2 linked regions of the Coturnix japonica genome follow. The protein of the gene in region 1 purifies or fractionates together with the protein of each later gene. This does not show direct contact. Links are inferred from orthologs where the notes say so. Each region holds a gene or a part of one and is shown in the gene's direction. Other genes may lie near its edges. The genes, in order: MTX2 and CHCHD6.

Region 1 (16,662 bases):
AAACAGGTTTATAGAAGATGACTCAGCTCTGTAGCTTTTCTCTGTAACAACAGAAAGGTCCATCCAAACAACAGATTGCTGCTCTAAGGACCAAGCATTTGGGCAGAGCCAGTCACAGCTCTTCTGCTGCAGTGAGATTCACGGTGCCTCCACAAGAGTAGCCATAAGCCCTACCCTGGTACAGCCGCTGGGGCACACACATGGGATTAGTGGCACTTCTGAGCTCACACCAGTGTGCTGGTCAGCACCAAGCTCTCAGCCAGGACAGCTCCTGCTTGCAGCTTGGTGCTATGCAGTGGGTCAGCCCTCAGGAATTCTGCAGCAAACTTCCTTCTCAGCCGTGAAAAACTTCTACTGGGCTCTTGTTTTGCAAGAGTCGTACATATTAGACTGATTTTGTGCGTTATTTTGGTCTTCTAAAAGTATTACAGAGGGTTTTGTTTTATCCCGGTGTGGAATAGCAGCACATTTTTAATCTAAAAAATCTTTTGGGACAAGGAAACCATTTCCTGCCCAGCTCTACAATTAATCACAGCACATCCCTTATAGTGCACTATGGATAAATAATTCATTACAGCTGCCTCTTCCCTCCATACAGGGTAGGCAGTTGTGATCGTTTCTACAGGAAGAAGAAAGTTAATTCTTTCTATGCTGGCCTCCAGAGAAGGATTCTGACCATCTTACAGGGAGCTCTGATGAATTAATAAACCCCCTCAGTATTTACCACACTTGTCCAGAAACTGAGCTCAGCCGCAGCTCCTTAATTTTACAGATACCATCTCCAGAGTTTGAGAAGACTTGCCTAACCTGTGCCTGCAGTCAAACTGTGAGCAATTATTCTGACTTTCATTAGCAAGATGATTCAGGATTTAGCAGCCGTGTGAGCTACACAAACATCGGGACGAACATTTAGAGCAATCACTAGTGCCGGTTGGAGCTGTGATTGCTGCTTTGACATTCCTGCAGTTTAGGCAACACAACCGTGATCCGTGCGTCAAATTAAACTAATAAACAACAACAAAAAAGTAAATGAATCAATATTTGTCTCTTCAATTAGGAATTCAGAAAAGATGGATAAGTACGGAATCAGTCTGTTACTACAGGTTGGACCCAACGGAGCCAAAAGGTCAGCACAGTAGGGAAGGTGGAAAAAGACAGTCATGGCCTTGAGAGAACACACAGGGAAACCAGGGGAAGTCCAGGGGAGGTTTGGATGTTTCAGAGCATGAGGAAAGTCTCCTCAGCAGCTGCCATGAATGACAGAAATGTGCAGGAGCCTGGGGGCTGATGATGCCTCCAGTAAGTAAAGAGTGAAGTAAGAATCTCTGCACACTGGCTTTGATGCTTGCTCAGTGCAGCTGTGAGGATGACAGACGTGCTAAAAGAGACTTAGCACCCCTGAATATCTGACCCTGCTGAATAAAAAGGAAAGGAGGTGAGAAAGCAAGACGAAAATGATTCACCAAATTGCTTTCATACTCAGTCTGAGATCCCCTCCTTGCTTTCAGAAACACTATTCTTGTACCTCTTAAAACTATGAAAACTTTTTATGCTCATGTGGGTTGTTGGAAACGCATCAGCATTTGTTGATTTATCAGTTAAGTACACAGTAACTTAACAAGTGCAAAGTGGTTGTGTTCAACTCTGACTACTGCATTTTCATAGAAGCACATTCATAGAAATTATGCCTTACACTGTTTACACAACTATTAGACCATTAGACCAAAACACACACCTGCCTGGCAATGAAAACACAGGAATACTCTCATCATCATGTACTTAATATTCATAGCACGTAATCTACTATAAAATACACCTGAACTTACACAGAAACACCTATACTACTGACCGAGTCCTAGCTGCTCCCACAAGGCACACATGTCAAGATCCCAAGGACACGCGCAAGAGTTGTGGAACGGGAAGTTAGACCTCAGCTTTGACTCTGGTCTCTCGCAGAGCAGTATCTCACTAAGCCCACTGGATTTGGTGGGACTGAAAATCTCATAACTTACCTGATACTTGGGAGATTTTGGCACCATTCCTCACATGGAAAAACAGTGTATTATGTGAAACAGCTGACAGGCAAACACTCGCATGACAAACATACTAAATACCCCGTGAGATCTATTTGATCACGTTAATCTGGATCCATCTGTTTCTGCTGCTCCGTGCGCTCTGCCAGGCTGCTTAGCACACAGATCACCTCTGGCACCAAGTCATGCTAGAAACACCCTCCTGCTGTTGCCTGGCACTCAGTGTATTGGCAGGGAAGGACACGCTCAAATCCTCCTTCATTGCAGAGATCCCCAGCAGCCGTAATAGCTTTTTAAAGACACTGACAGCAAGCATAATTCAGAGCAACCCCCAGGATGCCCTACGTTACACCACAGGGGCAACATGGCAGTGGGCCAGGCAAGGAGAAGGCATTGCTGTGCCAGTTGGTTTGCTTCCTGTAAACGAGAGGAATCGCTCGCTACCACTTGGCCTATTCTCAAGCACCAGCAATACCACACAAACAGCCTGATCAGAGATTCCACTCACCAGTGAAATTTCTGCACAGTTATCTTTCCAAAAGAACCATTCCTAATTGAATGCACAACTGTCAGCACTCCTCCTGTGATTTGGAAAGGCAGGAATTGTTAGAAACCTGCTCCATGGAAATGGAGAGCAGCAGTTTGGGCAGAGAAAGTGCTCTGAAATGCTCCATCAAGCATCCTGGGATGAAGAAAGGTCACGCTGTAATACAGAACAGCTTACACTACCACCTCAAGACTGCTATTGTATGCCAAACACCAACAAAATTCCTTCAGTGAAACTAGAGCCTAGATTGCCTCAGAGCCTTCAAAGCCTAGATTAGATTTAGCCTAAAATGTGTTCCATCAACTTGGGAACTGCACACGAAACACAGCAGAACTCAGGTCCAGAGAAACTGATATTCCTACCCTTAACAGGTGCTTGCTCAATCTTAAATCCTACCACACAGGTGACAGTAACACCTCACATGGCACACTAATGAGAGCAGCCATGTTAAAAACTAAGCAGCTTACTACAAAAAGCCAGAAGCCTTTTACTATCATCTCCAAATTCCTCATGCAACAATATCAGTAACAACTCCAAGCAATTCACAAGCGATTTCTACTGCAGCTGGTAGTATGTGCTACTCACTGTGACACTGTGCACTTTATTGAACAACAAAACGGAAGATAAAAGTGATACAAATTGAATGTGCATGTTACAAGTTATCCAGATAATTAGATTTTTATTTTATTTTTTTTTTTAGGGATGGATAAGTCCTTTCTCAAATTCTAATCAATTTAAAATTGAACATATACACATATACACATATATGACAGTTCCATTTCCCTGGTGGACAAATTAGCCACAGGGATTAAAGTCTCACCTGCTAAAGGCAGCCTACATGGAGAGGTGTATATAACCATATGAAGACTGTACTTTATCTCTGGGCATGCCTTCGTAAGGCAACACCCCCATTTATGGGTAGTGGTTCTGCTACATCTACTCATAACGCAATAATGTCAGAACACAATCAAAAGTACAGCAGTAACAGTGGAGTAGCACAAACCCAGGGTAAGGCAAATGAGAACGAGCCCAAACAGAGCAGCTGCAGATGCAAAAACAAAGGAAAAACAGTCTGCTTACCTTTGGAAGACTCATAGATACACGGGGACCTCCAACAAAATCCTGCTTGCTTCCAATGCTAATCCTTAACTGAGGTCTGGGATGGGGTAGACCCTGGCTGCACCCCTCTTGGTCACTCATGGGCATTGCATGCACCTGAGCTCCATTAGGTTGGCCTGCCTTCCCACCAGGTGCTCAATCACTAGTTCAAGCCATGATTTAGCATTTCTGCAGCAGTACTCCAGCTGTCATTCTGAAATACAAAGCTCTGCAGATTGTTCAATTCTGCCTTTTGGTTTCCCTTGAAATTCTAACTTGAAGTGTGTCCTTCTCTCAATACTGAAATCTGACATACTTCCACCTTGGGATCTGCTGTTCTGCCTTTGCAGTTTGTGAAAGGTGGGAAGCTTTCCGTGGTATGAAGCATTATAGAAGGAAGCACGTGAATTGCGTGGCCAGCTGAAGAAATGATCTGCACGATGGCTGTGAAGGAAGCCGGGCTCAGCAGGAGCAATTCCTGAACTCCAGTCCCAGAGCAGGGAGCCTGATCATCTTTGTCTTGCTGCATTTTGGAGACAGGAACATTTACAACAATCTACGTAGTGCATTCATAATGCAATGTTATGGAATTTTCCTGAACTTTAGATAGCCTTTATGTCACAGAATTAGGGCTAAGACATAAAAGCCAAGGTGTACACCTCAAAACACGAAGTTTGTATCATGGAATCTCAACTTGTGATGAAGGAAAAGCAGCTATACCCTTAACTGATTCCCTTTAGTTATCATCCGCAAGACACTTCAGGAAGCATTCACATGTTGAAAAGGAGATAGCTGGTATGATCCATAGGAAAAGCACCTGTAATTGTAGGAAATCATCTCCTGTCAAATTCAGTTAATTTAATGCCACCTTGCCTGCACATGCTGATCATTTCTCTAAAGGTCGATAAATGAATGATCCAGTTGGTACATATTCCACAGACACACAGCCATATCTAGTATCTTTGTTCTTGTTCTAATCTGCAGTTAGTTCAGGCAGTTAGAGGTTGAACATTTTTCTGCTTTCAGACTAAACCACGTTTAGGTGTTTCTGTTATCTTCAGAGAACTACTGGGATTAAGTCCTCATGTGTTGAAGCTTCATACAGTGTAAATGCCAGAGGAACTGAAAAGGGATTGAGTTGCCTTGACTTGACATAAAAGGTAAAAAAAAGGTAAAACAGGCTGAAATGACACCTTTCAGCTCCTCATCTATTACCTCTACATGTCATGTGGAACAAGCTAGATAAGCCAACTTTCCCTCAGTAGTAGAGACTACCCATGACTGGGGTTTTTGTTGGATCCAGAGGGCTTTTAAAAGTCCTTTTATGTTGCTCTACTGGTCCAGGGTACCCTTGCCTTGACTCCTCTCTATAGGACTGTAATCAAGGCTGCATACACATAATATATCACCAAGAAAAAGCTGCAAAACATCTGCAATTATCCTTCCACGTGCACTTATTTCATTTTTCTCCTTGAATGAAGCTGAAGTGTCTGCAGTATTTCAGATGTCAGCCATGTTTATATTGCTGAAGGATTTGGCATCTGTCATGAGTTAAATAACAAATGTCATCGCTCCCCGAGCAAAGGCTTTACTACTGTTTACTGGATAGAGATGTGGCTAAATCAGCCCAAGAATCCATCACAATACTCAGAATTATGATAAATATTCTCATCCATCATGATGTTGGCCAGTGTTTCCTGCTACCATTTGTCACATTGTAGTTTTGTTTTCACTTTTCTTTTGATTATATTTCCAGGCAAAGAAAGAGAATTATTACACCATGGCTAAACAAGCAGCTTTATCTCAGATAACATTTCAATTGGGTGCGAATTCAAAGGGACTTTTCCTCAATCTGGATTAACTAAGGAGATCAAGATGTAATTCCCCAAACAGTGGGTTGCTCACAATCCTGTCTTTCTATCCTCTACCTATTAAAAGCTTTAAGGAAAAGTTCTGCAGATTTGGTGTATATGGAGCCCAGAGAAGTTGCTTTTGTTGGTAGTAGTAATTGTCATGGAAAGCTTATACACAAAGATGTCCTTTGTGTTACGTAGCTCTTCTATGAAGTCTGGAGTCCTGTGTGGCTGACCCAGGGCTGCAGACAGGCCGCAGCCTGTGCAGCAGCTCTCACAGGAGATGGGGGATAGTCACTTGCAGTGTGGAACTAAGGAGCAGTAAGCAGAACAGGATCCTAATGGCCGGAATTAAAGCTGTTTGGCTTCACAGCGCACTTACACATTTGGCAATGTCCGCATTTGCATTTAACTCTAACGCTGCACGTACAGCTTTGCAGCGCATCGTTTCCAGACGAATCTCTCCCTCACATCGCGCACTACGCGCTCCACACAGCAGGTCCCCGCGCTGGAGCTGCACTGTATGCTCAGCCTGCATTTCTCTATGGGTACATTTACCGAGGATTTGAACCCTCTTGGAGGCAACTCCTCCTCTCCGCTCCTCTCCTCACACCGCCGGGCCGCAAACCCCGCCCTCAAGAGTAACGGCCGTTGGAGGCGGTGCCGTGCATGGCGGCGGGGCGTACCCGGATGCGCGGCCGTGCGTTGCGGCCCCAGTTCCTGGCTGTGCCCTCGTCCCGGCGGGGCTCGCCCTGCGCAGCATGTCGCTGGTGGCGGAGGCCTTCATGAACCAACTGGCCGGTGAGGGGCGGGCGGGCGAACGGGCGGCCGGTGGGGCGGGCGTCGGGCCGGGGTGGCCGCTGGCGATCGTGTGCACTGCGGGCCCAGTGCCCTTGTGGCGGCCGGAGCCTGCGTGACCTCTCCGAAGCGCGGCAGGGCCCTGAGGAGAACCGGCCGCTTTGCCCTGCAGGGGCTGATTGCGGCAGGCCCGGCCGTGCACAGCCGCGCTCTGTACGCGGTACAGCCGCTGCGGCACCTCGCCGGGCTCCCGCTGCAATGGCGGAGCGCACAGCTGCGGGCAGCACGGCCTCTGCTCATTTAACGAGCCCAAGGCTCCCAGCTGTGCCACGCAGCGCCTTCATTTCCATTGAATAACGTTCCTTTGCAAGCGCCGTGTTTATGGTGCTGCTGTTATGAAGCTGAGAAGTGTAACGATGCATGATTTGTTCTTACGATTCGCCATAACTGGGCCGCATGCACCAAACACGGGCCTTGTCCTAAATAGCGGCAACGTGCATAACTGTCACACTTTGTAACAGAAGTGCTCTCAAGGAACAAATGTGCACCTCAGAGAGTTTCTGGCTGTACAGCTCAAAACACGCTCAGTACATTGCACATAAAGTCAGTGTGTTGATCACATTTCACCCTGCTATGTGAGCCCACAAGGGGCAAACACTGCAAGGAAATAGCACTGCCATTCCTGCCAGGCCGTTGGGGAAGAAGCCAGCATTTGTCCCGAGAGCTGGGTCTGCAGAGGCCCTGATGTAGGAGTCCTGGTTTGTTTTTCAGAGCATGCTTGCCTGTTGCTGGTGTGGTAAACAAAGAACCTCAAATTTGGGTATGCAACAGGGACCCACAGGCATCCTTAAAGTTGTGCCTGGCTCTTGGGCTGGGACTTGTTGATTCATGGTGTTAGCTCCAGCAGCACCTACATTCTAAAGGCCAGGCACCCCAATTCCTCAGGACATGGGGATTATGGTCTGTCAGCATCACTCCATGCCATTTACTTAACATGATCTCCTTAGTGCTTTTCATTCACTTACATTGTGAAACACAAGTATAATCACAAATGTGAGTAGGAGTCGATTCTACTGTGTTTCTCTGCTCTGTGGCCCTTTTTGAGTATCTTAAACCAAATACTTGTTCCTTACTGGAATTACAAACACTGTATTGCACATACATATGCGTATTTGAAACTATAAGCAAGAAATACTGCAGTGCCTGGCTCCTTCCTTTCTCATTCCGAGTTGTTCCTCTGTTTCTGAACAGATTCTTGCCTCTCCGTTGGGTTGGTTGCTTTCAGTAGCCTCAGGCTCTTGTGATGACAGTTATACGATGAATATGGGATGATGAGAGCATCAGAAGTGTTTCTATGCTTCAGGACCTTCCTGAAATTTAATAAGCATAGAGCCTCATTTTTGTCCTGTAAGTTACAGGTTAAGCAATGCTAGTTTATTATTATTATTTTTTTTTTAATATAACATGCAGGTATTTAATACAAAATTGCTGCCAATGTTCCTGCACAGCAAAAGTGCTCAGTGCTTATTTTATTGATCTACTGCTGGATGTGCAGTAACTTACCATGACTGAAGGTACAGTACCAATCCTCGTTGTAGACCTGTCCACTTGTAACACTATAATGTGATGGAAAGCACAGCAGTAATAGTAGGGTGGCAAAGCCCTGGGCTGCAGCCACTGAGGATAAACCCAAATGCAGCAGCTGTGGACACAAAAACAAAAACAGCCTGCTTACCCTTGGAAAGCCTCAAGTAGACAGGGATCTCCAGCAAGATACCCTTGCCTCCACTGCCAACCCTTAAATGAGGTCTGGGAAGGGGTGGATCCTGGCTGCACACCTTCCAGTCACTCAGGGGCATTGCATACAACTGAGCTCCCCTGGGTTGGCCCTGCCTTCCCACCAGGTGCTCAATCACTGCTTCAGGCTGTGACTTGCATTTCTGCTACACTCCACCCCTTCATGGTGTGAACCAATGATTGAGCAGATTAAAGGTAAGCCCTTTCCATTATGGTGATAAAGTACACATCAACACTTTGTACAGTTTACCTGTTGGAGTGTCAACCAATAAAATACAAGACAGTTGAACTTGTATCACAAACCAATCGTCACGTTCCTTTGTGGGCCAGTACTCAGTGGTTTCTCCAGGAGGCACACGGTTGCTTGGACCAGCTCACATTTCATCAGCCCCATATAGTCCACCACTGGGCATCATGCTGATCTTACAGTGACACTGGAGCATCTTGATGTCATGTTGCTCCTCCCAGTGATCATGTGAACCCAAAGAGACTCACAGGGAGTAGTATTGATGTTTCAGAGGTACCAGAAAGGGTAGGTCTGCCCTCTACATCAAGACACAGGCCGTGTTCCTGTTCTGGGTCAATACTTCAGCTTGCACTAGGGCATGTCCTGGCTGTCTGTATTAGGCCCTTTGGCCTGATATCCGAGGCTGTATAACTATGTTGGGTAGCAGAGGAGTGAGGGGGGGCTGACTTGCCACAGGGACGTGATTAAGGTCCCCTTAGCAATGGAAATTAGAATGTCAACTACAATATCTGTAGGCCATATACCAATTACCATGAGGGAGTACCAATCCCCTGGCCTCCAGTAATTTCCCCCAAAGGTTCAAGTAGGCCATACTACTTTGGAAAGTACAAGTAGATCCAAGGTCATTCTATTTTGAGTACCTGGTTTTAGGTTTTCAGGGGCAGGAGATTATTTTCACTGCTTATTTGGTGTCTTACCTGATTATCAGTGCTTGCAATTTGAATCCTTGGAACAAGCTCAAATGCAGCAACTGTGAACATAAAAACAAAGAAATAAAAATACTTAACTTTGGAAAGCCACAGGTAGGCAGGGATCTCCAGCAAGAAATCCTTGCTTCCACTGCCAACCCTTAAATGAGGTCTGGGAAGGGGTGGGTCCTGGCTGCCCCCCTTTCAGTTACTCAGGGGCATTGCTTACACCTGAGCTCCCCTGTGTTGGCCCTGCCTTTCTACCAAATGCTCAAACCAGTGGTTCAAGCCCTGACTTCAGCATTTCTGCTACACCACTGAATCGTTTTAAAAACAAAATTATGACCTTGCCTTTGCTTTCCAAAAGCAGATCAGTGTCAAAAGCAGTTATCTGACTTGAAAATAATAAATACCTTTGCTGGCGGGTCATGGCCTTCTAGCTCTTCTGTACTATGTATCACTCCAAGACTGAAATTAAATAAAGGAAAAATTGCTCAATTTGTTCATATTGGAAAATTTTTCTAGAAGTTATCCAGGTTCTTGGCCAATACCCCCCACTTGTAGGTTGCACAGACACAGGGAATATGTTATTCTGATACTGGGAAGGTTTAAATGTCTCAAAAGTATTTTTGAGGTTGAAAAATGGTGTATCTGAAAGGAAAAACATACTTAACAATGGCTGTTCTAACAGCCTTCTCTTACCTGTGGCTGTGAATACTGTGCTTTGTTATGCGTGAGTGGAATGGTAAGAGTGATTGAGGGGGGAAAAAAACACAAAAATCCCCCTCAGAACTATGATTTAACATGGTACAGGTTGCTCAGAGCAGTTTTGGAATCTCCATCCCTGGGGATGCTCAGAACCCAGCTGGCGACTGCTCTGGACAACCAGCTCCAGCACCTCCAGCTCATCCTCTCTGTGGTCCTTACTGGCTCAGCTTGCTTGCACATATGCAGAGGCTCAGCAGTCTCTGTGCAACGTGTGTGCATCTCAAGGTGCTGAGCACAACCTGCTGCTGTCATGCCATAGTGATCCACTGCACACTGACAACGATATCTCTTATGTGGAGTCAGATGCTTGCTCTAGTGATGTTTTAACATTTCACTTGTTCAGAAATATATAGAGAATGATGCTGTATCTCGGGGAATCATAAATACTTGTGTAGTTCCATGAATTGCAAGCATGTTACACCACATTTTGAATAAGCAATTTCTGAACTGTTCAAGTATTAATTGGATGTATGGTAGGGAATTTGTTTAGAGTAGCTTAGCATCAATCACATTTTAACAGGGTAGGAAATGGGTATTTATGCTACAAGAAGAATTAGAGTGCCAGCTTTCAAGTGGTTCAGAATATTAAACTCTGACAGTGGTAGTTTAGAGAAGTTGGCTGCTCAAATGGCCTAGAAAAGATTGTTGAAATGTTTTTCAATTGATCACTGAATTACTCAGTATGCTTAGCATTCTATTCCCCACACATTAGGTTCAGACCAGCAATCAAAATGAGAGAAAAGAATATCCTTGTTTGTCCTTTGATCTTCTGTTTACCGCAGCTGAGTTATGTCTAAAGGCCTTTGGCCAGTTTTAGTGCTGAGGGAAATGAATGCAGTTTGAAAAACAGATGCCCTTCTGCCTTTAGATATTTTACATTCTCAGTGAGTCTACCTGCAGCGTAACATGCCAGAGCAAAAGTAAATCTCTTATGTGCATGTTTTATGTATTAAGACAAGCTGCAGTTTGGCTTAGAGAAAACATCTAGAGTGAAAACTGACTGCCTTCATTGCTCCTGCACATGGAGGCATGGAATGTAAGCTGGGTGTCCGTTTTGTACATTAGAATGTGCATGTATGAATGTGAACAGTTCGTGCTTGTATACAGTGAAAAAATAGTTCCCTGTTTGGAGCGGGAGGTAATCCAATGTAAGGGATCCCTTTAAGTCCTGTTCTTTTGCCACGAGCAAGTCTCTTAGGTGGCTCCTGCCAGTTTGCTCAGGCACGTATGTTTTGTAGCTTGATTTGAATCAGTCCTTTGAAGGGATTGCCTGTCTAATCTTTTGCTGGGCCAGAGGAGGAATAACTTTATTTTGTAATAATTACAGTACTGTACGTATTTCATTCTGAGTTAGCTACTTCTTGTATTTATGAAGTGATATAATTACAGTTTATAATAGAATATCCCTCTACAGTTGTTTCTGGCTCCATTAAGACAAAGCAGTCTTCCTCTAATCAGGATTTTACTATTAGATGTTTTCTGCTAAGTAGTATCTTCTTATTTTCTCATGACAGGAAACAGGATTGCTCTAGAAGTATGACAAGAAAATTAGTAAATGAAAAGGAATGCTTACTTTGATTTTGTCCCATTTGCTTTGCAAATACCATTGTCTCTTTTGGGGGCTGACCTGGAGACCGTGAGCCCTACAGCAGCAGCAGAGGCACCAGTGTCTTCCCCTTAACAGTGGCAGCGCTTGGCTGGCTGCACCACTGCCAGACCTGCCTGCATTACTGCCCCTTGCAGCTCTCCTGCCTCAGATCTCTGCTCTTCTTGCCTCTACCTGAGGTCCAGGCTCTCAGCACTGCTGTCATCACCTCATGCCTCCTGGTAGTGCTGCCCTCAGCTCCTTGGGTGAGATAGGAGAGTGGGAATGAAGGGCAGCCATAGTGAGAGGCCACAGGGCTGGGTCTGGTTGAACAGAAAGAATGCATGGGGGGAAGCATTTGGAGAAGATCAGGGATATTGAGGGCTGATCTAGTGGGACACAAGAGTGGGATCCCTGGTTTGAGTCAGAGTAAAGGTACTGGGAGTGAAGCAGGGAGCTCCCAGGGGCACTTTGCAGAAGTGGCTTTCGGTCTGTCTGCCAGTCATCTGTAGGAATGGAGGAGTTTGGATTGTTCGGATGGGGAGCTCTCGATCTAAAACAGCTTCCCAAAAGGCCAGTTTAAAGTATAAAAACGTAGTCAGCATGGCTAAGAATTGTCATAGTCCAGTAGGGCACTTAGGACATTCATGAGCGTCAGACATCTGTCCTCCTCTTCAGGGCAGCTCCTCTGCATGGAGCTTTATGTCTTCAGGCAAGGGCAAAGGACTTGAGTAACGCAAAGGGAAGAGATTGATTTAGAGATCTATAAAAAGCTATAACGAAGAATTACGGAGTTTCTTTGAGATGGAGCATTTATGCTGAATATCAGGAATAAGTAAAATAGCTCCAGCTTGTCGAGACTTGAGAAATAAATCTATTGAGATCATTAGTTGGCACTCTGTGCTTTTCTGAAGGAGCCCAAATGTTGATTTAGGAGCAGCTTGTATTTATGATTTTGACTCTGCTGGGTTTCAGTGGCCTCTCTGCAAGCGTGGAGTTGCCAGGCCACCTCCTTGCAGGGAGCATGCCGAGTACCCGGGGGCCACAGCACAGTCTGTGCTCTGGGCACTCAGCTCAAAGTAATGGAGTTGGACAGATGCTTCAATCCACGCCATTAATAGCTTTCTTGGAGGGTTAAGGAGCAGATTGTCTCATCCTAGATGGCTGCTGCAGTCATGTCATGATCAACCTTTTTTAGTGTTCTGCTGCAGGAAACTTGAGTTTGGGAACTGCTGCTCAGATTGAGTCTTCACATTGGCATGTCTGCTTGATCAATAATTACTGAGCAGCTATGATTTACCTGGATTGTAATATCTCTGAGAAGGAGGTCCGGGATAGATTTAAGCAAATGATGTAATTATTTGATACATGATTTAATGTGGCCTGTTTAACTTGTGTGAAAGTGGGCTTTCATTTGGCAGGGCACTGTGGAACACTCCTTGGTTCTCTGTCAGCAATGCCAGGGAGCTGCTGATGCTCTCATTTCTTCTTGGCCCTTGTCAGTTTGCAGGACCAGACCAATCAAAATGTATTTCTATGCTTCATTCCTGTAGCAGAGATTTAGGAATGCATCAGTTCCTGGCCTTTTCTTTTAAAACAATATATTGTTCCCTGCAAGCGTGACCATTTGCATTGTGAAAAGGGAAGAAAGTGATGGCCTACTTCTTTTTGATGCATCTCAACATCAGACTATTAATGATCCTTTTTCCTCCTGGTGTCCATGGGTTAGCTTGCGGTGTGGTTCCTTTGGGTTGAGCACAGCTCCCAGAGCAGCAGCCCTGGGAAGCCAGGCAAGGAATGCCTTCCCAATGGTTGTTGCGATGTTTGCTCCGTGGTGCTTGGAGACTTGTAAATAATGATGTTGGATGTGGATGCAGCCAGATGTAGGACTCGATTTCTTTGTAGTGTTTACTCTTGTGAGAAAACAGTTTTGAGGTATCTCATTATAATTTAATCAAATCTGTACCTAGGGAGAGGCTAAAGGAAACAGTGTGGAAATAATGCGTAAGTTAATTTCTCCAGCTGTAATATTGGAATACGGCGATTAAAATTAATGCTAACTTTTTTAGGTTTTAGTAGAGAGTATTTTGCCTCTTGGCTGTTTTAACAGGCCTTTAATGCTATGTGAACCAAACTGGTAAATACAGATGTTTTCGCTTTCCTTCTTTTTATGCAAGTTTAATATCAAAGTGCTTAAGAATATAACAGAAAGGGAAATGATCCATGCAAATCTGGCGACTTCAGAGAAGCTGCTTTTTTTTTTCTGCACAGTCTGTAAACTCCTGCTTACAGTTGCAGGCAATGGCTCTGTCCCAGGCCTGGTTTCACTTGCATAATTTCATACAGAGGTCTGCATGAAAGAGGGTGCTGGTCATTTGGGTGCATGATTGACGGAAGCAGAAAGAAGGTGTTGAGGGATAAATTACTGGCACACTGAGAACTCAGGAGATTTTAGTTTACAGGATACTCGAGGCAGAGATTGTCTCATTTACTTTATGTAGTTTCAGTGCTTGACAGATAATCTGCAGACTAGTAACATTTGGTGTTAGTTCCTTAGCCTTGACTCTGATTAGGCATATTTTGGCTTTATAGCTGAAAATCACTTATGTCTGCATTGCCTTCTGAACACATTCCCACTCCACCCAAATTCTATGGTTGTGCTAATTGCTGGGAACAGCTTAATTTCAAGTTGAGCATGGTCCTGCAGAACTCTTTCACCTGATAATAACTTCATTTCCCTTGTAGGAGGGAGCACTTAGATGCCTGCATCTGGAGCTTTCTCATGTCTGTGCCCAAGACTCGGGAAGGAGCGGCTTGTGGACATGTGTTAAATGAGCTCATGCTGCAAACCACGTCGTGTACTGTGATGGTCGAAACTGGCGATTCATGCCAGGCTTCTGAAAATGTTATGTGCTTGTTTAGCATATTTCACAATTTAACATGCAAAGTGTTTTGTGTCTTCTTATTTCCACAGTCAGTCTTATTTTTTAAGTAACAGGATTAAAGGTATAATTGTAAGCCATTCATTTCATTTCAACTCTTTCATCATTGTGAAGCTGCTTGGGGAAAGTGGATGAAAATGGCTGTTCCCCCATCCGTCCAGGCAGCACTGACATGGGATGAAGTTTCCCAGCTATTAGAATGTAGGAGTTGAGACCTAATTTGGTACTCTAATAAGATGTTGGAACAGCCTGGACAAGGAGCTGGTGGGACTGAAGTGCTGCAGAGTGTTGGGAAGTGATGCCTTCCTCATCACAGACTTTGCTGAGGGAATTTCTTACAGCCTTTCATTTTTGGACCTTGAAATTAACTGTGTGCAGGTACCCTAGAGAAGTACATCCTGTCCTGTCATGTTCTGAGAGCACTAGTTGGAGCTGAGATATGTGAGCCTTGGGTGTGCTGCTCATCTCCTGCTGGTAGTGAAGTCCAGTGCTCTCAAGGATCTCTTCCCATGGCTTAAATGCATTTGTCCCTCTTGCTGTCTCAAAAGTATTTAGATTGACAAACTCTTATTATTGAAATGACAACTCTGTAACATCTGGAAATGTTGAAGTCAAGATATTAATTGGATTTAATCTCCAACCATGGTATAGCTCAAGTAAAACATTTCACTCCAAAACCTGAAAACTGCACCTGATGCTATTCTTTTCTAGTGGCAACGAGTTTTATGTGACTGTCATGTCTCATTCTGTGCTTTGGAAGCTTTTTGTGTGAGCAGAATGATACATTCAGTAATTCATTCTCTTATGTGACAGATGAGGCAGCGAGCTCTTTTAATAGATAGCTGCAAACCTGAGTAATTACAACTCCACTGGGAACATGCAACACACCAGTTCTCAGAGTTTCCCTCTAAGTCTAATTTGACACCGAAGTATCCTGGTAGTGCTTTGTATTCTATATTTTTATGCTAAACTGTTAATAAGCAGAACACTTTGACTAACAAATACATTGAGCTTAGGGAAATTTTCATCTATTTTTAGTGATTTACAAAACCAAAGAAGATTTTTCTGTAGGTGGTCCCCTTGCTGTTTGACTCCTCTATGGTGCTGAATTCTTTGCACCTGTAACCTGGCTTATGTGGTGATGCTTTCTGCGTTCATGTGCTGTTAGTTCTCACTTGCCAGTAACTATTGAATTTGGTGCTTGTTCTGGATGTACGTAACAGGGAGAACTGATCCCATAGATGCCAGTTTCCTGTAACTGGCTTAAAAACAAGCAGTACAGAAGGAGAGAAACAGGGGAAGGCAACAGTCATATGTCCTGAAAAACAGCAGACAATCCATATGAAAGATTAAATGTTTGAATTCCTGAAGCATGGGAAAAATGTCAGTAAGGTGAGAAAGCAATCTTCAATAAAGATTGTGTGCCTGGGAGGCAGACCCATTGGGCGCCACACAGTCGTGGTTCTGCTGGTTCTGGAGGCAGAAGGAAGAACCTAATGGTTACTTATTCATAAGTTACGAAGAGAAGCAATTCCTGGAAGGTGTTCTTCCAGGCAGTTACTTTATCCTGTGAGCAGTTAATGATAAAAGTGTGTGTTGCGTGGGATCTAACACATAAATGTGGTTCTGTGTTGAAAGCTACTGAAACTGAGTTGACACAGCATTTGTTAATTTTCTTTCTCTTCCCAGTTTTGTCTTTTTCTCCTTCTGTTCCAGTAGCCTTTGGAGAGCTTTACTTAGCTGGGAAACTAACATCTAGTGACCAGAAGATTATAGTTGCCAGAGGATAAACTGGATTTGACTTCATTAGTGCACAAATGATAAGTTTGTGAGGAGTTATTATAGCATTAATCAACTTGATGGATTGGAAGTATGACAGAACTGAAGCAGCGTGTAATATTAGTGCCTATTATTCTGCAAATTATGTCTTCACCTACATTCATAAAGCAGGAGTCATTGCCGTACACATTACTCCTTTTCTTCTCTTGCTGAGTCTTGTGGTGTCCCCTCAGTGACATCTTCCTCTGTCCCCAGCAGGTTCTGGCCTCTCCGAGTTGCAGATTTTGGCCTGGCAACTAAGTGAGGGCACTTGTGGGGCTGGTCTCTGAATTTATCTCATTCCTCATGAGCCTGGACATGAAGAACTGAAGGCTTTGGTTCCAGGCCTCTGAGCATGTGTCCGCCTTGTCCACACGCACGTGCTCAGAGCTGCGACCTCCATGTGGAGCCTGGCAGATGCTGAGTGCAAGGCTGCTGTGCTTTCTTTCACACACAACTGCTGCATTTTGGAGTTCAGATCTCCTGA
Region 2 (16,050 bases), on another chromosome or scaffold:
TTTCTGCCTTGTGGGAGCTGAGCCAGCTTCCTTTCTGATTCAGAGAACTCCTTCCAGCAACAAGATTCTGACTCATTCCTGCTTGGCTTCCAGAGACCATTTTGCTGCTAACTTTAGGCTTCATCTTTGCTAGTCAACTTTTAGTAGTTTGGCAAAAAAACGGTGCATGGCTTTGTGGGCAGGAGATCCAGTTCTGTAAACTTCTGTATCTCTTGGCAAGGCAGCCAAGAGGCTGTAGTTTTCCTTTCATCTTCCAAACTGACAGTTTCTTGTAACTCAGTATTCTACCATCGTAATCGGTAAAGAATTCACATCCATGTACACTGAAATTATCCACTTGTGGGGAGAAATCTCTCATTATTTCACATTGCTTGCCATCTGCCATGCAGAATGCTAATAGGGATGATTAGCAATTGGGTTTGCAGGACTGGCTGGGAGTTGTCACTTATAACCCGCCTACAGCCATAGGGATGCTGCTAAGAAAGTCAGTTTAAATGCGGTAGAAGCTGCATCCGTACAAGTAAATATAAATTGAAGTTTTTTTGGGTGGCCTATTGCTCTAATGGGGAATGGCTACTTACATATGAGGTTAAACCATGTAGGAAGGAGAAGAGTTTGCCTTGTGTTGAAATAAGTGAGATATGGAACTGGAACCTGTGCTGCTTTGGTCACACAGTCTCTTTGCATGAGTTTCATCAGTGGAATGGAGACATCGTTGTTGACTTCTGTGAGTGTTGGCTGAAATTAGGTGTCATATAAAGCTCTGAAGTAGTGCATTCCACCTTAGTCTGAGTGTTTAGAAAGTTGTTCTTGTTGTCATTTCCTAAAGAAAACGTGGTCAGGTTAGACTGTCATCTCTGAAGGAGTTCCAGCAGCGCAGTGACACTACAAGTTGTGGACTCTGTTGAGATTTGGATGCTTGTTTTAACTTTTTGTTCTCAGTGATAGAATCTAATTAGTTACACAGAAGATGATTTCAGAACAGCTTCTGGGCATCTGTGATTGGAAGGGAAGGAGTTGTCTGTCCTGGAAAGGACGCGGGTGCACTGAGTGCACAAATTGCAATGGGGAATTGTGTGACAGCTTCAAACAAGCTGTCAAAAGAGGAGCGGAGATTGGGAAGTGTTTGAGTGACAAATTTTGTAGGATCACAGAGCTGCATGGAAACCGAAGGACTTCATAAATATGTATTCATTAGGCATTTCCATGGACAAGGTAGGAGAGAAGAGAAATGAGTGACCTGCTAGTGAAGTGCAGCTGTGAAGAGGGAGAAAGAGAGAGGAAATGCTGCACTGTGCAGTAGTGTGTTGCAGACAGTATGAAAAGACATAAGGGAAGGATTTAGAAAAGCAGCTGCCACAGCTGAAATGTGGAGGTAGTGTCCCATTAAGAAAATTGTCATGAGGCTTCACCTTTCCTTTTAATCCATGTCCTTTACGCAGTAGTTATTTCTACAAAGAATATTCCACGCAGATTGGTGGCAAAGCTTTGAGTGGTGTTTTGAATACATGAGACTGATCAGAGATATTTCCTTCCTGATGGTAATAGTTTATTCTTGTGAGGCATGGAGTTTATTTAGACTATGCTCGGTTATGTAGCTTAAATAGTACTGGTTGATAATCCATTAGGAATCTTCCTTCTCTTATTTTGTTGCTGTTTGGTGAGAGAAGTGACTCTGCCCTTTCATTCAGGCCATGTTATCAAGCTGACGTGCAGGGTCAGGGAATCCCATAGGCTGTAGCGAGGCCACAGTGTTTGCTCTGTGATAGCACAGCATCCTGCGATGGAAGCTGGCTTTCTTGGCTGTTTGTTCTGTGCTGATGAGTTTGTTATATGTGAATGAAATGCTTCAATTGTGTTTAATTTTCTGCTGTAAATGTCAAGGATGCAGTAATGAGAGAGGATGGAACCTTTCTGCACACTATGTATTGCATCTGTCTGGAGTTATTTTCCTGACATGTTAAAGAGGAGCCATCAGAGCCAACTGCTACCCAAGGGAGAATGCAGTTTTACAGGTCAGTTAACCACTTAGTGGCTTTGTGTATGTACGGTGCAGCACACCACTTCCATGTGACCAAACATCGCTGAGCTTAGTCTGAAATACATCTGGTGTAGCCTGGATATACAACCATACTAACCAACTATTTGACACATCTCTGATTCCTTTCCGACACAGAAACTGCTGCTGCGCTTTGCTCTCAGTGCAGCCCGTGCACCTCATTGCTGACCTCTGAGGCTGTCTGCGCTGTAGTTACAGTGGTGATTAATGTGGTTTGTTCAGGTTAGCTCTGACACTGGTTGCAGTTGAATAGTGCAGCAGAAAGTAGCTAACCTGGTTATTGGGTTCTGCAACCCACAGGAAATTTCGCTGCACCATTTAGGCGGCTTCTATACCGGAGCAAGCTGTTCTGAAGTCGGCTTGTACAAGAAACCCTGGGTGTCTTTGAATTTTCACTTTGAGTAGAAGTATCTAAATGTCTAGGTTTAGATACCTTCACTCTCTGTCTTAAGTGTTTTTTCTCAGCTTGAATGGTTTCCCAGAGTAAAAGGTAAAAAGAGAATCTTGCCTCTAATTCCATCTGGGATTGCTGTTCTACCCAGTAAAGCCAAGTGACAGCGTGGTACTTGCTGTGGATCTTGGACCAGTTTAAGGAGCTGTCAAGTCCTAAAGCTTTCAAGTTCTATCTCCACTTGGCTAGTCTGATATTTTTTTTCATCAGGGTAGAAATAGTAGCAAATGCATACACATCTTACAGCTTTCCCTCGCTTTCCAGTACCAAGCCCATAACTCTCCTTCCAAAAGTGGAAGCTGTCAGCAACAACGAGCTGGTAGCCATTGCGCTATGTTTGTAGCCTGCCTGTGGGATCTGTGTACTGATGATATTGCCTTAAATCGGTTCATGAAATAAGTTTGTGTTTGTCTTTGAGAGCCGTTGTGGCTCCTTGATTAATTGATGGACATTTAGACCAGCACTCTGCGCACTACTGCAGCGCTTAGGATGGAAATTCTTGAAGAACCTTGCTTTAACCTCCCAGATGCTCAGCACTTCTTCATGGGGTTTATATCCACATAGAAGTGAATTTGCCAAGACAAATGAATGCAGTTATTGACTGGAGCAGCCGTTACCTGCCGCTGTTGAACAGTTAGGAGAGGGTTAAGAAGAAAACCTCTTCTGAGCCAGTAGATTGGCCCTGACTAAGATGAATGTCTAATTCACTCCCAGCGTCCTTACTGCTGCCAGTAATAAAAAGCTTGCTTCACATATTCACCCCACTGCAGACGTTTCTCTTAAATTAAATATCAAGAGGACATATAATAGCACGATTCCACACCAAGCCAATATTATCAGATTGATGTCAGCAGTGATAATAGAAGAAGGATAAGTTGATGAGATTTCATTTGTTAAATAAAGTAAAGGGAATACGCAGTGATAGAGAGGATTTGGTAACTCTTGGTGTGTCAAAATGCAGCAGGATCACATTCGTTCCACCTTACCTCAAGGGATAGCAGGGAGAAGGACGCCCTTTGTTTCATTTTAAGAAAACCCATCTCTTCTTTTCCAGCCAAAGAGCTGATTTAGATCCTTCAGCAGGAGGGGGAGAGGAAGATCTGAGATGTACGTAGCCTTCTGTCTCATTGCACAGCGGAGAAGCTGAGGATTTTCTCCGCTGTGACTGGAGAGGCACTGCTAATGAGTTTTATTTCTAGATTAATCCTTTTTTTCCCCACCTGTAATCTTTTCTCCTTTCCTCTTCCTTGATCATGTATTATTGTTTTAATCTTTCATATTTTGTATGCCCTGCATTTATATCCGGGGTGTTGTCAGAGCTCAACTCCTGTAGTTCCTTGTCTGTGGGTATTTTCCTAGCCCTCCTGCTCAGACCTTTTCCTTTACCCCCCTTTTATTTTAGCTGCTGTAAATTGCTGATGTTTAGCTGCATCTGTTTTCATAATAGCAGTAGCAATTGCAATGCATTTTATTTTAGACAGAGGCTAATTGCCTGCCTTTCTTGGTCTTAGCATATTACGCTTAAAACTGTGACCCATTTTAGAAGAAAGGTCAAAGCTTACTGTTCCTCTGCTCTTTCTGTATTCAAACCTCATTCCTTCTCCACCACATTCTTTCCCCTTCATTGTTTAAAACCCTCCAGCAGCGAAGCATTTACCAAGAGCAGTGTCCAGGAGATGATTATTTTCCTGAAGGTTAAATACTGCCCATAGCCTTGTGGTGGGCTGAGGTTGAAGGGGTGTAGCTGGTAAAGCTCTCCTTCCTTTCAAATTAAGTGTACCACTGTCCAAAGCCAGCGTGTGCTCCATTGGACTTGGGTGTCCTTCCCTGTGCTGGGCTCTTCATTTCACAGGTCACACTGTGTTGTGGGCTACAGAGACAGTTCTGAGCAGCACTGCCTTCCTGCTCCAAAGTGAGATGTCATCCTCTGTAGGATTTAGCTGGTTTTGTTGAATTTCCAGTTCATTTGTGAATGCTCTCATAAATGGATTTGTGGGATTTGTATCGATAATTACGTCAGCTGATTTTGTGCTGTGTTGATGAGATTCTCTAAATCTCTTTTGAGAAGGTGGTACAACTGGTGCATAGCTGGAGCTTCTCCACGATACTTGTTTTGTTCCATTGAATTCAGACTGCTCTGTGACATGCTCTGCCTTTTCCCTCCCCCAACCCTCTGCTTGAAAATTACAAAATGCCCTTCAGTTTAACATGGCTGAGTTGGAAAAACCTAATTTTAAAAGTCTTAACTTCTTCAATGAATTGAGGGATTTGATGGTATTTCCTGACCTGGTATTGTTTGGTGTCGTTTCCACAGTCTCACTGATTTGATTAGAGCGATATTAAAGTTAGTGACAAAGCAAAATGCCGATATTATGAGTTTTTGATGCTCTCTCCGGTTCCTTTTCTATTTCAAAATCTGAAGATTTTTGGAATATGGATTTTCAGGGGCTTTAAAGGTGATTTGCTACGGAACGTGGAAATTACAAATGCATGCTCACCTCTGGGGACTGCATATGAAACAAGTTTCTTCTAAAAGCTGTAGGGTTAGAGAAGAGGGAGAGAAAAAGAAGTCTATGTAGTATTTTGGTGGCTTTCTGATCTAGGTGTTTCTGAGTGTGGCTGTCACATTGTTGCTGATAAATTCTTAGTTATAATCATAGAATACTTAGAGTGGGAAGGGACCTTTAAAGGCCATCTAGTCCAGCTCCCCTGCAATGAACAGGGACGTGCACAGCTAGATCAGGTTGCCCAGGGCCTGATCCAGCCTTGCCTTGAAAGCCTCCATGGATGGGGCATCAACCACAACACTGGGCTACCTGTTGCAGTGCCTGTTGATGTACGTTGCAGGGTATGACCGAGGACTGAACTATTGCTTGGAGTATGTCTCAACCAAACTATTATGAAGAGGCAGTGGTGTTGCTGGTACAGATGGTTTCTTCTTTTCCTCTTTTGCCTTCCTCAGTACCTTACCAAAATGAGTGTGATTTGGAAATTCCTATCTGTAGTCTCCAAAACACTTTTGGATGATCTGGCTTCAAGATACCTTGTGGCTTAGAAATGTTTCACCTGTGAGAGAATGAAAGATGTTCAGGAATAGGCCATATTTTCTTCCTACCTGGTTGGGAAACCCTATTGATTGAATGAGTGACTTGTTACTGTGGAAATGAATGTAGCACAGTATGGCATTTGTGCCTGCCCTTAACATCAGGTGCTTTGGAAAGAAGAGGGACATTTGATCTTTGAGCACAGATCTCTTTAAGCACACTGAGGCAGGGAATGCAAGGAATTAAGTGGGTTTATGATTTAGAAGGCAGTGTCTTAGTGCTGCTACTCCTCCTGCTGAAATGTACCATGGCAATTGTGCTGCAAATTCCTGCAATTTGTGGCTGCCTGTCTGTGCAGCTGATGATGCTGTTACTGTGCTTGTGCCATTGTGGCTCGGATTATTTTACAATGACCTTCTCTTTATTGGTGCTATTGCTGAAGATATGCCATATGTACTCATGCACATGATAGCCTCAGAACATCATCTGTAATTGTTCTTGAGTAGCTGTCGATGCCACTTATGGGACATGAGTACTAATTGCTTCGGAGATACAAAGAAACAGATACCTGGTCTTGCTATTATTCCCTTTTTTTGTTTTGTTTAGTTACTGGAGGAACTGCAGTACTCACAACCAGGCTGGATTTTTTGGGGAAATGTTTAAATAGTTGAGAATTCAGTAAGTAGGGGTAGCTCATTCAACAAGTCCATTCAGTTCCTTATCAGCCTGTTACAGATCTGGTGCAGGCCCAGCCAGAATTCCTGACTTCTGTCAAAGATTTCCTGCGTGTCTTGGAGAAATCATTGAACCTCTTGAAATTGGTTTCTCTTAACTGCAGATGAGACACAGTATTTTATCTGTGGGTAAAGCAGCCTCCCACACTGACCCAGTAAGAATACATTCCATCTTTCTGCTTAGTACTCTGGATTTTTTTAGCTGGAAGACATCACTGGTCATTTAACTCACTTTGTGATCGCTGCTCCTACTGGTTTATTTATTTTTTAGGGCTAAGTGACTCCAGCACAAGTGTGTGCCACTAGTCAAGTGGTAGGCAATGGCTGCAAACTCCCTTTTGCACATCTCTCTGTTCTTGTTTTGCCCACAGGAGGAGGAACACTGATCCTGTCTGTGCAAGTCTGCAGTCTGAAATTCTGAAGTGCTATCAAGAAAACCAACGTGAAGTGCTCAAATGCTCAGAGCTGGCTAAGGAGTATCAGCGCTGTGTTAGTGCCGCTCAGAAGGTAGTAAAAGCTTCTCTGTTATACTTGCTGGCTTTGCTGACTGTTCTGTATAGTGTTTTCTTCTGGAGATCTGTGGTATCTTTCAGTCAAGTTGGGGTGTTTATAGGAGACAAGTCTTCCTTGGGATGCACTTTATGCCCATTCAAGTTGATCCAGTGCTGCCCGGTCTCTCTGTGGTATGTCCCAGCTGCCTTCCCATCAGTGCCCCTATGGTGCTGAGCTGCTACCAAAACAGTAGTGCAGATACTCCTTGCCTTCAAAGTCGGTCATAATGATTTTTCCACATTTCTCCTTCTTTGATACTGTGTTCTGTAGATGGTAGTTACGTCTATTTTGCCAATATTAGCGATGTTTTGGGCAGGCTTTAAACATTCCTGATTCCATTGTAGGACCTCACGATTATCAGTCTTGCTTCTTTTTGTGGTTGCATGTGGAAAACTTGTTAAGTAGCAAGGCTGCTGCCTCTTGAGGGACCTGTGTGCTCCTAAAAGTTGTTTGTGTTGTGGAGAGGTCCAGCAAGCTGTTATGGCTCTGCCTTCAGAGATGCAGAGCGCTCCTAGCTTCTGTTGATTCCTTAGGATGGTGACTGCTGAGGACCTTGGAAGAATCTGTGACTTTGAGAGCAGGTGAAGGAGAAAGGAAAAAGGAAGCATTTGGATGGTTATGGTTGTAGGAAATGTGTGTGATAAGACATAAGGTGATGTCTGGAGTGTAAAGGATGCTGTTCCTCACATGAGAATTCAGTGGGTCAGATGTCCCTTGAGGGCAGACTTCTTTTTTGGTTATAAAATCTCTCAGGGGTCTTGAGACTGTAGCAGGGTGGGTTTGGGGAAGGGATGGAGCCTTCTGGGAACAGAAAACTGAGACTCCTCTCTTGGGATTATTAATGTGAAGGCGGGGGGTGGGGGGAGGTGGAGATTTCATAGAAGCAGTCTTTCTCTGTCGCATTAGCATTGTGAGGGGAAGCTGTATGCCTGATTTAAGTATAACATGAAACAAGCTGCCAGCCGGCTCCCAGAAGAAGCCCGACAGAAGGAGATGGGAAAATTGTCAGGATATATTAGACCAAATGTTGCTGCTAGTCCTGGTGGAATTTTTTTCCTTCCTGTTTACAAAGAAGGTCTTTGTATGTCTGCAAATCAGCAAGGTTAAAGCTGCCAGGGAAAGGGCTTTTCTCTGATATCTTTAAAGCCCCCAGCTCCCAAAACATGTGGTTTCTTTTTCTTTCTTAGCTCTAAAGTGAAGCAGTGCCTTTGCTGCCGCACAATCTGTGCCCTCTGTTGCTGTGCTCAGAGTGCCGGTGCATCCGCTGCCAGCCTCTGTTACCTGATGCTTCCACCTTCCCTCCTGTAAATCAGGCTCGTAGCCTTTTTTGGTGGAGTATATCTTTAGCAAATGCATTTACCAATACATCTTTATTGCATGCAGTGCGGGCGGAATGTGATTACCAAAGAAGACAGATTGCATTAAACTTCAGCATATTTGCAAGCTGCGGCTCCAAGCCGCCTGAGAAAGGGTCTGGGATGCTGCCAGCCCTGAGCCCCAGGCCGACATTATTAAAGAGTAAATTGGAAGCTAAATGACTGGTAACAGCAGAGGGCAGTGAAAGATCCTATTAACTTGGAGCTTGCTTAGATTTGTGCAGTGTGGGGTTGGTTTTTTGTATGTTTTCTTTATAAACCAAAGAACTTGGAGGTGGTCTCAGTTTACAGAGTGTTTAGGGAATTTTTTTTCCTTGCTCTTTTGGGAAGTTCCCAGAAGAAGTGGGGCATAGGACGTGAACGTGCTGTGGGTGATGGCGATGTGACAGCGAATCTCCTTGCTATGCTTTAAGAAAGGGGAAGGGGCATTGAGGCACAGGTAGCTGAAACTTGCAGCTGGATACAGGCACAAGAGGGTTTTGCAAGTGCAAACCCAAATAAGCTGTGTGCAAGGCAGAGCATCTCCTGTATTTGCCTTTATCCCCGGATGGCTCGAGCCCTGCCAGTTTGCCTCGCTGCTCTTACTGCTTCCTCTGACTCCTGAGATATATATGTAGCGATCACAAGCTGTTGTGCTTTTTCCTGGACCGTACAACTCCCTCCTCCCTTTCCTATCTAAGCTGCTATTTTTCTTTAAGTTTAAATTAGCAGCATCTTCTACCAAATGGCTTTTCGTCTCACGCGTTCCTCATTTGGGTTGGAGGAATGTGGGAAAGAGGGGTCACAATCTCTTGATTTTTTGGTTATTTTTTCTTTTAAACAGAATTTGTTTGCTATTATAGAAGGATGTTGTAATCAAAGCTGGATGTGGGACTTCAGCTCGCTGGCACGATGGTGATTTGTTCTTTTGCTTTTTCCTAAAGATTTTATAAGGCTTGGTGAATATTCTTTAATGAAGCATCTGGTTCTCTGCAAGTTCTTTTTGATGGCTGGTAAAATGTCTCCAAGGCATGGATACATTAGGCTCAGAGAAAGCGAGCTCTAGATTTCTAGGTTGAAAATTACAACTTATAGTGGATGACTGTAATTCCTTGCATCTTCCCCCTTACTGTGTTGCTTTAAGACCATTCCTTTGGGCACCCATTTCCCTTTGCCTGTTGCTGTGTACATTTCTCATCCAGGAGGTGAGGTGCAATCTCAATTACCTCTGCCCCACAGAAATATATCCGGTAATAATTTCTGAACCTTAGAAATTTATTTTCTGCTCTCCTTTCCTGTACAGGCCCTCTTGGTGGAGCAGGTTGCTGTAGTGCATGATAGAGCTGTAATTGTTGTTACCTCTTCTGTATGTGTTCTACTCATCAGGGCACAGAAATAGGTACTGCAGGAGCACGGTGCATCACGTCCTACAACAGTCCTTTAAAGGAGGTCAGTGGAATTGCCATCTACGAGTGACTGTTCTACCACTTAGGCACACTGAGGCCTTCAACTCCAAACTTCTAGTGCCTGTAGTTGGATGCTCCCGAGTGATCCTCTTCTGCTTGTTGCTCATCTGTTCTCTGCCTTCCCTATCTAACACGCTTACTAGCTTTGCTGTTTATTTGTTCAGAATGTTAAGTTTTGTTTGTGTTCTCGTGGGCTCTGGGTTGCTCCCTGCAACCTGAGCTTTGCTTATGTCGATGCCCTCTGACATCACAGCATGTTGCTGTAATGCCTCCTGTTTAATTTAGGAGTGTTTTATCTTTTCTGGTGGTCTGTTTTTGTGGCTCCGCAGAACTTCGGCTACAGCATAAGAATTGCTGGTTTTAAATCTAATAAAAGCTGGGATAATGGGACAGCTGTGGGAGGGGCAGTTCCCATTGTGTCTTTTAAAATTGCCTGTAGTTTATTGACCGCAAGTTTCACCAAGAGCTACTGCTGCCGTTAGATAATGAGAATTGAAAATTGCTGCTGCTGTTTCCCCGAGGTTTTATCTCGTGCCAATGAGAGGAGGGTGTGGAAGGAAAAGGAGAGTGGGTAGTGGGAATCTGCGCTATTTCTTTTTTTGGACCCTGATAGAAAAGGAAAACAATCGTTTTTTGGAAGCGTAGGTCCTGCTGCTGAATTGCTTTCCTGCCCTGCAGATGTGCACTCACGTGCAAGGTTTGTTAAGATCTTTGTGACCCCTTCTGCTTCCTCTACGTCCTGTTCACACCGGTGGGTGAATCTGAGTTTCCATAGAGGTTTGGATGGTTAAGCTGTAATGTAACTGGTGGTTATGTGAGGGGGTCTCCAACCAGCTGCCACCTGAAAAATGCGGCTGCTGGTGACCACATATTAACACGTGTCAAGGTTTTGAACAGTGCTGCTACTTACAGTTGTGTGCAATCAAATGCCCACTGCACCCTTCTTCTTCCAAGTGTTCTCCTAATGTCTCCAGGTGCTCCTCTTTCACAGAGGGACCAAGGTGATGTTTTTGTGCTCTAGCTGCTGGTCAAACCAAGTTATAACGAGCTGCATACTCACACATGTGTATTCCCTTGTCAGTAGGAAGTACATGCACTGAGCTAGGAGCCATTCATAGTTCTGCGCCTTTTCTCTCTGTTCTACATCCAGCTTCTCACGAGTCTGCTATTCATAACAGACAAAGGTAAACCTATTTCTATCGAGGCTTTAGGGCTTGTCTTCATAAGGAAATTACAATGTAATAAACTGGTGAGTGAGTTTATTGTATAGCAACTTCTCTGTATGCGAACGTACTCGGTTTGTAATGGAAGCGCAGGGAAAATTCACCCTCATTTGCTGTGAGTCACTCTGCTATGCAAACAAGCCCTGGCAAAGCACAGACTAGATTCCAGCAGATGTAGATGTCTAACATAACCTTGAGTCTACTACATTCTCCTTTACCTTTGACTCTAATAAAGAAGTGTAGTCAATTTACTGCTCATGCTTTTGACTGATCTCTATGGAAGCCCATTTTCCATTCAACACACACAGCAGAGCATTGCAACTCTGCCTGAAGTTTACTTCTGATCTGTGAGCAGTGACCTACATTACCATTGCTGAGAAGATGCAGCTGATAGTCATGCAGTGTCCATTCCTGATGGAATAGCTTTGCTCAAGCATTTGGATCCTGCAGGAGCCTGGCCTGCTGTGAGCTGTTGTTTCCCCGACCAGAATCTTTCTGCCAAAGCTCATCGGCTCCAGGAGATGCAGGATGTCGTGGGCTGTATTGTGAGTAGCTCAGATCATCTTTAGCTTCTTGCTATGGAGTTGTTTCCATCCTGATGGAGTGCAGAATGCTTTACAAATTGGTTGACCCCAGCCCACTGGGGTACAGACCTGCTGGGAGTTTCCCTGGATGAGGGAACCATACCCAGGTACAGTGACTTGAGAAATGCCAGTGTTCTGCTTCCCTCACCAACACTCTGCAGATCTAAATCTCAGCAATTGAAGCCTTGTAGAGAAGATGTATCACGAGGTATGCTACTTGAAATACAGTATATCTAACTTGGAAGGCTTTAGGGTTGTTTGAGCTTTCTGAAATTCAGCTTTGTGGTTTGAGATAAATCTGTGTATTTGGTATCTGGAGCATGATATCCTATCCATACCCTCAGCCAGGTATGTGCCTGCCCTGCCGTTCGTCTCTCTGCCCTTGTTCAAAGCAAACGTATCTGTGAAGTGTTTTTCTTGCTTTCTCTGTAAAGTCAATTCTCTTTTTTTAATCTTTCTCTCTTCCAACCTTTATTTGTCCAAATGCTGTGGTGATAACACTATCGGAGGAGTTTATGACTCAATAAATGGCCCCCACAAGGGAATCAGTGGAGAGGCCGCAAGCTGCAGGCAGCTGCTGTTTATTTAGTCGTAAAGGCAGAGCAGCATTGGATTCATTGTAGGCATCTCCTGACCTGTTATTTGCAAAGGTGAAAGTGATCCATATTTTGCTCCTATTTATAAAGGATGGAAGCAGTTATTGTTTAGATGGGTATTTCTTTTTTTTAAGGTGGCAGTTTTGGTTCCATTGGGTCTTTGGTCCTTGCACAACATTTCTGATTCCCTAGAGTTCATCAGTGGATAAACTAAAAATATAGAGCTGCCTGAAAGGACATAAAGCACCATCTTAATATATGAGGCATGTCCCAGAGTAAAATGCTGGCCTACTTAAAATGGAAATGGCTGCTGCATATACCTGGTATTCATGAAACTGGAGGTGTAAGTTCTTTATTTGCTCTGTATCTCAGCACTTCACGAAGCCCTGCTGTTCCCCACAGCCTGGCAAACTGTCAGCACTTATTAACCCAGCTACCTTTCTGACTCTGCTGTTTGTGGTCCATGTATTACGTAAAGCCCAAATGTCGTATATTCTGGAATTTACCATTTGCAAAGGAAACAACAGCATAAATAAGCTTAAAACTTCTCTTTTGCCCAACTCAATGTGCTTCAGGACTTCTAGGGAGATTTAGTCAAGAGCAAAGGAACGTGCAGGCTATGAAGTTCTTGTGACCATTGCCTAGCCTGGAAGGAAGGCATCCTGCCCTCATTTCTCCACAACAATCTGCTGTCTAAGAGCCTGACTCACAGTCCATGTGTATTTATTTTTGTCTTTCTATTTTTTGCTTGTTTGGATTTTTTTTTGACATTCTTATAGTGAGACAAAGTTGCCTTTGGGTCTAATTTCTCACTTAATGACTCTAATCTCAGATATACTTAAAGGTAAGATTAGTCTAAGCGTGCATATTTTACAGATGATTTTGAAGGGAATGTTGTTAAAAGAGGGAAATAAGTCAGTTTCTGAAGTTGGACTGTGTGGTGTTTTGTTACATTAAAAAAGTGGTCTGTGCTACAGCTCCTTTTGACTTAAAACTTGGTTTGCCTGAACCTGTTTAAAAGCAGCCTGGAAAAAGGAGGTAATGAAAGCGCTATAGGAGCGAGATGTCATACCTGACTTGGACCTGGTGTGGTCTTTGAGTGGGTGGATCTGAATGGGTGCATTTGAAGTTGGGCATCAAATATAAGTAAAATCGGGACAAGCGCTATCAGGACAGGAATGTGTTTCTCTGAGATACTCTGTCTTTGGGAATTATTTCTTTATAAGCTTAAATAATGAGATCTACATGGATATATTTTATCTAAAGAGTCTCCCAAAGTCTCTGCTCTCTGTGTGGTGTGTTAGGCAATGTTTTCCCAAGAGCTGCAGCTTGCTTGCAGCCAGGTTTATCTACTATGGGGAATAGTTGCTTGGGGGTGAGAGTGTGTTGTGATACATCATGCTGCTTTAATGCCAGACTTCTTCACAAAAGATTTGTAGCACAATGTTGGCAAGTTAAAGTGGAAATTCTTACTCGGATTAATTCTGGGAGACTGATGACCAAGCAGTCCTGGACAGAAGGCAGTTGATTTCCAATTTTTAACCTACGTGTTTTGCTGCTGAAGTTAGATTGAAACAGATCCACAGAAATTGCTGTCGATAGCAACTGCTGGTTAGAAGCACAAGGTCAGTGGTCAAATGCCTTCTGACTCCCAAGAAGTTCCAAAATAGCCTTGACTTCCATAACTTCATTGCTAATGTTAGGTCCATTCTCTGTCAACTTGGCTATAACTTGGGAAATAGTATCTGGGATGCCAAAGTCTTCATGACAAACTGGGGAAAGTAAAGATTTGTTATGCTTGTTGTTGGTCTTGGTCTATGCAGGATGGCTTCCTGCTGAAGGCACTTTGTTGCTTTTACACACCATCCATCAGCTGTTTTATTAGCAGGTCTCGGGGCTGAATACCTTGAGAACTAAGAGGATTTAATGCCTCCAACACTCGGTTGAATCTGTCTGTAGATAGTATGTATGGGGGCTGTTCTTGTGGCACTGGTCCTAAACAAGTGGAAGAATTGCTACCAGGTAAGCATGACTGCTCCACCTCGCCCTTCTTTGCAGCGCCTCCTTGGGAGGCTGATGGACAGCACACGAGCCCTTGTATTAATAGGAAACCAATCTGTTTTTCATCAGACCTGTAGCACGTTGGAAGAGACGGCTTGGGGAAGTTATCCTGATGCTGCTTGCTTGGTATATTCCATCCACAGACCATCTCTATCCAAAACTGTGGAGCGTTCATATTACAAAATCTAAGTTTTGTAGGGAGGGTTCTTTTGGAGCCAGGCCTGCATGTATTGTGGTTTTCATCCCCTTATGATGCTGTCTCCTTATGCACCTCCTATATGCACCTTCTTACCTGGTGGTATTTTGTGTTTTCTGATTGGAGGCCTCTGTAGGAGCCTTTAAGAGCTGGTGAAAGGCTCTTAGAGCCCACCCTCAGCATTCACAGAAGCTGTCCGGACAGCCAACACTTGTTACAATTAGAATTTGTTACCTTTATAATATGAGGGAAGGAGATAGTGTAGTCCTGAGGAAGTCTGGTGCTGCAACATCCTGTGTAAAGTTGTTTCTGAAGCTTGAAACGAGTGCTGTTGTGCTGTGGTAAGCCTGAATGTATCCAGAAATGCAGACTGAATTATTCTGACAGTGTGTTCGCTCTTTGTCCCTGCTGAATGCCTGTTTGTCCTGTGTAAGTGGATTTTGGGATCAGCCAACCTCCAGCTCTGAATTAGTCTAATAAGGTATGGTGGGGCGGGTTTAAAGGTCATTGTGCTAGCAGCTGGCTCCCTGCATATATTAGGGGGAATGATTCTTAAAATAATGCTATTGGAAAGCTGTTGATTTAACTTTTCAAATACCTGTAGTCTGTAGAATCTCTGCTCTTCTCCCTCTGTCCTTCAAGCTCTCTGCTTGCCCTCTGCCTGCTTATCTCTCTGTCATTTCCGATTACCTCTACCCACCTGCCTCTGCTTTCTCTCCCTCTCAGTTTATCAGTCCACGTTTGCTGCCCACACGGACTGGGTTTATTTTTCTGAGCAGATCATCTGTTGGGTTACTTCAGTGAGCAGTGTAACAGAGAGATAAGGGTTACTTGCTTCAGTCTGTTAGTAAAGCATTATTGCATTATTCCTTTATGGGGGGACTGGGAGCTCTGAACATCCACTCCATCTGCAGTCTGTGTGTGCTGCAGATACTTCGTTCCCTTCTGAGAACGAATTGGACATTGCTTTAAAGAAGATCATGATATTTCTATTGTATTTTTTTAAACTCTTGGTCAGGTTAGAGTGCGCACAGTGATCATTCCAGCTTTCTCTCTGCAGGCTGCTTCAATCCTTACCTGCTCTAAACGTTTCATATAGAAATGAAAAATCATTTGCTTTGTTTAGTTGTTCTCTGGATTCCTCTTTGAGTTTGCCAGCAAGGGTGATTCCAAGGTTACACAGTGGACGTGTTCCCCCAGGCCGTATTAGCAGAAGCAGATGAAAGCTTTTGTCTTAAGTAGTGCTAGAGGTGGCTTATTTAGGGTTATCAGCCTTTTAACAAGCTTCATAGTATTTCTAGGCCCCAGGTTTCTGGCAGTACCGTTTGACTTCCTGTGATAACAGTCATGCATCATCTCTTAGTACCAAGTCTAAGTGTGTTCGAGAGTATCCTGAGGCTCAAAAATTCTTCTCAAGTCTCGTTAGAAGTGCACAGCCACTGAAAAATGCATTGGATGCGGTGATTCAGATGGGATTCTTCCCAGCTGTGTGCAGCAGGAGCTGCTACGATAAAGACACTCTGAGAGGACTGAGGTGCACTAGAGGAGTTTTCATGGAGAGCTTCTGCTGTGCCTGTGGCCACTGTAATGCTCTGCAAAGCCAAGCTTACAGCGTTTGGATGGGCTCCAAATTGACCTCTCTGGAACAGGAACAGGTCTGTTGCTGAGGACAGACCAGGTGTAATGTTCCCATAAATTCCCCACTTTGTAGCCTTTACCAAAAGTCTCC

What was found.
Region 2: the proteins of MTX2 (region 1) and CHCHD6 purify together in Homo sapiens (co-immunoprecipitation; 3 studies listed by BioGRID and IntAct, counting the BioPlex papers as one, with this or other methods). This does not show direct contact. The link is inferred for Coturnix japonica from reciprocal best matches to the Homo sapiens genes MTX2 and CHCHD6.

What each region holds. Positions count from the first base shown.
Region 1 is NC_029522.1:14,451,872-14,468,533, reverse strand, and holds the start of MTX2 (metaxin-2), read left to right. Parts: upstream 1-6,115; 5' UTR 6,116-6,292; coding exon 6,293-6,332; intron 6,333-6,682; exon of another isoform or gene 6,683-7,699; intron 7,700-7,892; exon of another isoform or gene 7,893-8,031; intron 8,032-9,071; exon of another isoform or gene 9,072-16,662. UniProt on the Homo sapiens protein: Involved in transport of proteins into the mitochondrion.
Region 2 is NC_029527.1:7,447,740-7,463,789, forward strand, and holds part of CHCHD6 (MICOS complex subunit MIC25), read left to right. Parts: intron 1-6,659; coding exon 6,660-6,795; intron 6,796-9,581; coding exon of another isoform or gene 9,582-9,644; intron 9,645-16,050. UniProt on the Homo sapiens protein: Component of the MICOS complex, a large protein complex of the mitochondrial inner membrane that plays crucial roles in the maintenance of crista junctions, inner membrane architecture, and formation of contact sites to the outer membrane.